Linked DNA regions of Kluyveromyces lactis. The protein of the gene in region 2 interacts with the protein of the main gene of each other region in a pairwise test. Links are inferred from orthologs where the notes say so. Each region holds a gene or a part of one and is shown on either strand. Other genes may lie near its edges.

What was found.
Region 1: the proteins of PSY4 (region 2) and PPH3 interact in binary tests that used the Saccharomyces cerevisiae proteins (3 or more experiments, as listed by UniProt). The link is inferred for Kluyveromyces lactis from reciprocal best matches to the Saccharomyces cerevisiae genes PSY4 and PPH3.

What each region holds. Positions count from the first base shown.
Region 1 is NC_006041.1:889,424-892,354, forward strand, and holds PPH3 (phosphoprotein phosphatase PP4 catalytic subunit PPH3), read right to left. Parts: upstream 1,661-2,931; coding exon 734-1,660; downstream 1-733. Other genes in the region: AIM25 (Aim25p), read right to left, coding at 1-203; PEA2 (Pea2p), read left to right, coding at 2,462-2,931. UniProt on the Saccharomyces cerevisiae protein: Forms the histone H2A phosphatase complex in association with the regulatory subunits PSY2 and PSY4, which dephosphorylates H2AS128ph (gamma-H2A) that has been displaced from sites of DNA lesions in the double-stranded DNA break repair process.
Region 2 is NC_006041.1:510,530-514,014, forward strand, and holds PSY4 (Psy4p), read right to left. Parts: upstream 2,016-3,485; coding exon 807-2,015; downstream 1-806. Other genes in the region: RSM7 (mitochondrial 37S ribosomal protein uS7m), read left to right, coding at 2,956-3,485. UniProt on the Saccharomyces cerevisiae protein: Regulatory subunit of the histone H2A phosphatase complex, which dephosphorylates H2AS128ph (gamma-H2A) that has been displaced from sites of DNA lesions in the double-stranded DNA break repair process.

The DNA.
Region 1 (2,931 bases), about 380 kb from region 2:
TTTAAAATGGTAGTTGCAATGGGATCATACTGCTGGATGGTCACATTGTTCATATTTGGCACGCCATTGAAGCCCAAACGAGAAACATCCTTTACCGGAGTTGCCACTCTAGGAAGCCTTCTGAAAGCAGAATACTGACGTACTAGAGCAGCAGGCTGCGAACTGAAAATTCGTCTGGTAAGTGCTAGATTATATCTCCACATGGTGTATGAATATTGCCCGGTCAGCTGTTCCCTTGCATCTAAACGTCTATTTGACTTTTTGTAAGACTCCGTTTAAGGTTGAGATACTTAATTGAAGATCAAATATCAAAATATTACCGTTAAATCCAAAATTGAAGGGAAGGTAAAAGTATCGTCATAAATGTTCTGCTCGAATGGAATACAACCAGAAATTCCATATTACAGTATAATATGTATGCTATCAAATGAATCATATAATTCAATCGTACAATTATTGAAATAGTTTACTGTTACATACCTATTGGGATACTTTTATTGAAATGTGGTATATCACTGTGTTGAATGAGATTAAGAAGAGAGGTAATATTAATACAAAGCAACAACTGTAGGTTGAGCTATGCTGGGAGGATGGTCGGTTGATAATGAGGATCAGGGTGATATACCATGCTGTTAAATAATGCTGAAAGAAAAGAAGACTGAACCAATAACACGGGAATCGGTCAGCAAATCGAGAAGAGAGAGAGAAAAATGCAAATAATAATGGTAATAAGTTACAAGAAGTAGTCCATTTGAGGTTTTTTCGTAGGGAGAATGACATTACCTCCACTATCCCTCGCCTGAACAGCTTCAAAAATGGTGTAATCCTTCGTCATATCGTCATCGATGCGCAGCACAGCAGCCACATTCCCACAACGATAACAGTAGTTTGGTGCTGACCATACCGTGACTAATCCCCCATCGAACATCTCTTTATAACCTTCCATGACCAATTGATGAGCTCTAGCGATTAATTCGACACTATTTGTGTGTAAAAATTTATCTACTTCGTTTTGGCCAAATAGGAAACCTGCACCACGCGGGGAAAGAGACCAAGTATCCACATCCTCTGGATCCGACCACAATAAATCACACATAGCACCTTCATGCGGTACCTCCTTTTTCCTATCGATGGTTCGTATTTCGTTGATTGATAAAACGTCCGGCGATAATCCACCATGAACACAGAAAACCTTGTTGTTTACAATGGCACCCAAGGGCAAATAGTCGAATACTTCGCAACAGTATCTCCATACGTTACTGTTACCATATTTCCTTACCACTTCGTCGTAAAACCCATAAACCTTCGTAATCTGTCTTGTTTCATGATTTCCTCGTATCAACACAATTCTATCTGGATACCTTAATTTATAACATACCAAAAGAAGGAAACTCTCTAACGAATAGAACCCTCTATCCACGAAATCTCCCAAAAAGATGTATCTATTCTTTTCAATGCCTCCACTCTTAGCAAAGAGAGTCAACAAATCATGCAATTGGCCATGAATATCTCCACAAATTGTGACTGGCGTATCCACATGTGTCACGTTAGACTCATTCATAAGAAGTTCTTGAGCCATGACACACAGCGAGTATATCGAATCCTCGTCAACATGTTTCCCCTGCCTTAGAGTCTCTATAATCTCATCGAGTTTCATCATTGACAGATGCTCAGACGACGTTAAAGTTAAAACCAACTGGAAGTATAAAAGATAAAAAAAAGTGATTCCCTGTTCAAGAACTGACGATATTATTCTATAGTGATGAGTTTGGATCAAATCCAACAAAAACCTACCTTAAACTAATCTAACAAAGGTAAACTGAATAGTCATCATTAACAATATAGGCTTAAAAGCTTCTTTACTTTCTTATTTTCCAAAATTCGATGAGATAGACAAAATGCAAGTATCAAGAGAAATAAAAGTATCAAGTATCAAAAGAGGTAACAACAATTACATTTTTCGGTTAGCCTGAAAAGTCAACTTGTCGGTCTGCGCTTTCCGGTATGTCTACAGTATATAGCGTAGTGTGGAATGCTTGCCTGTGTTGTATATGGGAATTGTTCAGAATCTTGCTTCTTCTTCTTCTTCTCCTTCCATTGTTTCTTTTTTTTTGCCTGTACTCTTTTTTCACGTTTCTTTTTATCAGTTTGCTTCCTTTTTTGTGTTTCGGCCACAAAAACGATAATTTAACGTGACATGCGGGTAATGAGGTGTGCTTATGTAAGCCTTCGGAAGATGACACCCAGACATCGGAATGGCGGTATTCGTGCGTGGTGATGTCAAATATCACGTGGTTGATAATGTGCTTGTATTACCCGGAAACTGCATGTATGTCCCGTGCGTGGTAATTGAGAAAGGCATTGATCGGAATCAACGCGTCTGGATAGATGAACGGAATGTTAAAATGTAAGTTGCTACCAAACCAAGCTAGATACTGATCGCAGCTAGCCCCTTGATAGAATGCTTCGTAATAACCTGGACCAATGGTACGAGTACAATACCTCTTTTGTAGAGAAATTGCATGGGAAGTACCCCAATGAACAGTTGAATGAATATTTGCAAACTACGAGTACGAATTCCCTGATATCCAATAGACAAAATTCGGAGTGGGATGAGCTTCCAATGGATTTGGATTCCCAATTGAAATTGGAATTTGCATTGTACTTGATTAATGAATCTGCTAACGGTTCTCTAAGTACTAAGGGAACTACTTTCTTACAAAAGCTTGGCTCGGTAGACGTTGACACGTTGAAAGAATTAGTCCAATTGGTACTAGAGAATGATAAATCTTTAGCCAATAAAAGCACTGATGAGGATGAGGGGAAAGTGGAACAGATCACCTCCTACCTGATCTCTAGCTCCATTTCTAAAGGTATCAATTTGGCATCAATAGACAATTCTTCCAACGAGGAGGGTGTACATGATCCAAT
Region 2 (3,485 bases):
AATTCTTTTTATATTATATTCTCATTTCACGACGGTCATTCTAAAAACAATTCTCTCTTTTCTACTCGACTGAGTAGAATTACTCCCTGTAACATTTACTTTTGAGTTGTTATAACCATATCACTCGATGAGTAATAAGTTACAGTTTAATTTCATGTGTGTATATTCCCCCAAAAAAAGAAATTTGTCACGATCGATTTATATCAATATTTTACTGTTTTGGACTAAAGTCTAGGGTGTTTACTGGCGCATTCGATTTTTCGCTCTGTCACAGCTCCTCAAGATCAATACATTTAATGAACATAATGTATTTTTTAATTCCAAATGATATTTGAAAATTTAGGCTAAATCGAAATAAATCAAAATCTCGCTCATTATTCGTCGAAACAAAAATATGAGTTCAATGTCCTTATTTATGATACTGTCATTTACTGGTGAGCAATTGAATACATTTTAACCATCAAGACTTTCTCTTGAGGTAATCTGGAAATTGCGGTATTCAAGTCATCCTAAAAAAAAAATTCAACACTCTACTTTCTATATCGAAACCTGAAAAAAAACATCAAATTATTATAATTAATCCTGTCTGAAATAACCTACTGATATATTCATTTGATACTAAGAAGAGTGACCTTTATGTTTTCCTTGTATCACGGGAAATATTAATAAACTCTTTATTTATATTTATTTCATATGTATGAAAAAACTAACTGAATTCTTAAATTAAGGCCTTGTGTTTTTATTCTGTATCTAACATAATAGCGTGGAACTTCTTGATGATAACTGCGTAATCATGCGCTGCATGATCACATTCTTTTTTTGTCTTGCAACGGACTAGTAGATAACTCATTTTTTTCCGCTTGAGTTACTGAATTCGTTGTATCTGGAGAAATGAATGTATTTATCCTTGAATCATCGTTTCTGGATGGATCCTCCTGATTAGATACTACGGGGGATACCATAGATGACGATGATCCAAACTCGTTCAAGGGCATTTTACTTTTCTTTGGAGTTGTTATGAAGCCATCATTCTCCTTGGTTTCTTTGTACTGATAATCATCCAACTCGGTGACATTTCTTTTCCTCGAAAGAATGCTTTCATTTTCATCTTCATTGGCCGCGTGTGAACTGACGGATAAAACGCTACTTGTTGAAGATAATCGAAGCTCTTCTTCGATAGGAACGCCATTGTACTTAAGCTGAGTGTCCGTAACATCTGTATGTGCATTATCTTGGTCATCATTTTCTGCTATCTCGCCTATAGAGATGTCGTCACTTGCATCCTCTTCCACCTCTTCTGCTTCCATTTCGTCGACGTCACTGTCGTTGTCTTCGTCTTCTTCATCTTCTTCTTCATCTTCGTGATCCTCATAGTCCTCATCTTCGAATTCTTCATCCATTTCCTCGTATTCCTCGATGAGCACATCGCCATGGTTATCATATCCACGACCGATGTCATGATCTGTACCATCTTCATTGTCGTCGTCGAAGTCATCATAACCAAAATTTACAGCCACTATAGTTTCAATCTTCGAAATAAACGCCTGCAAAGACTTCTCATCTTCTTTATTCGTGCGGATCCACTCAATAGGTATCAGAGAAACATCTTCCATTGGGTTTGTGTTTGGACACTCTTTGCCCAGCCTGGGTGTCCAATCAGTATTCACCAAGCAACATTTCTCCATGGCCGACACAAACTTTTGCAAACTGTGCACAGGGAAATATTGTAATGGATGGTAAGATAATTCGCATATCCGTTGAATCGTGAACGGATACTTATCTCTTTTTGCAAATTTCACAACAAGGTACCTCGATAGCTCTTTCAATCTGTGTAAAAGGTCTTCCTCTTGGTCCTCGTTATAATTGAAGATCTCCTTCGGTATCGTTATGCTGAAATGTTCAGATAGCTGTGGGATCAATTGCGAAGGCGATATTTCGTTAAACGCGCTTAGATCTTTATCGATAACTATTTTAGTCAAACGGTCGTATAGATGTCTGGATTTTATTCCCATCATATTGACAATGTATCTGATTAATGAGCTGATAGTAGGAAAGGCTGGCAAAAAAAAAAAAATTCTACGGTATAGTAATATTACACTTGGTTAGATCTCCTTGAAATGGCACTAACGAAAGATCGGTGTTCTCGGGGTATTCTAATTAGCACAAATAAGTCCAGTATGAGCGATGCCTTTTTTATTCCAAACTGGCAGATATAGAATAGATAAAAAGGATAGTCTCGGAAAATAATATGAAACAACGGACTTGTAACACCTAGTCCCAATAGACAGTACACGGTTAGCCAATCCCAGCTCAGCCAGCAGCCTTATAAAGTTCGTTCTCTAGTCTGTTGATTGACCGTTCTATCTTTGTAGCTTAGAAACCTACATGTTATTTGAACAAATTTCTTTTATTTATCATTTCACATAATATTGTGCGCATATAACAAATTTCACCAACTTTTCACGTAACGAAATGTGATATTATTTAAAGGATTTCACTTAAGAACGGCAGGAATTTTAACACTTAAGTACGGAAGTTCTAAAGATACTATAGTTACATACCTGAATACAAAATAGATCAACGACATCTTTACTATAATATTAAAGGCTAAGGTGTCTAATAAGGTACAGTCTATATAATATCATTAATTATTCTTGGCAAGCTTGTGCTCAATGCACTGACAGGCAAAACTACCAACGGCACATAGAAACAGATCATTAGTAGTCACGTGTATTTATGCGGGTAACACTGTTCACACTGGCTCATCTCTGAACCTTTGATCAAAAAAATTTACGATTTTCAAACCAAATTCAATATCATCATATTCTGGTGAAGTAAGCTTGAATTTGGATCTAATGAGAGTTACTCTTAGATTGAATAGGTTCTGGTTGTATTGTGTGTGTCCTTGTGTGGTCCTTGTGTACACTGGCATCTATTCAACGGAAATTGTACAGTATGTTGAGAGCAGGAAGGTTTAGTCTGAGTCACGTCCATGCTAACGTTTTGGCAAGAAGTCCACTTGTACATGCTGCCAGTATACCGACCATGCAAACCAGATTCCAAAGTCAATCTGTGAATAATAATGCGTCTACAGGGGAGAAATTAGCTAGCCTTAGCGACGAACAGGTTGATGAATGGTTGAAAGTTATTGGATCGTTAGAAGAAGAGTTTTCGCAACAAGATTATAACCCAGCTACGTCCCTTGCACCAGGTAACCAATCTAGAATTAATATCTTGGAGAAGGCTATGGAATTGAACAAGCCCAGCTTTGAGCCAAGTCAAGAGCAAATAAATGAATGGGAAACGTTGAAGCAAGTTCCCATTCCAAAAAAACAGGATCCAGTTTTACAGCATGTAACGAATATGATTATGAGACACGGGAAAAGAGAAAGAGCTGAGAAGATTCTTTCAAGAGCGTTATATATTGTGTTCTGTCAAACAAGGAAAGACCCGGTAAAAGTTTTGAAAGAATCCTTGGATGTGTT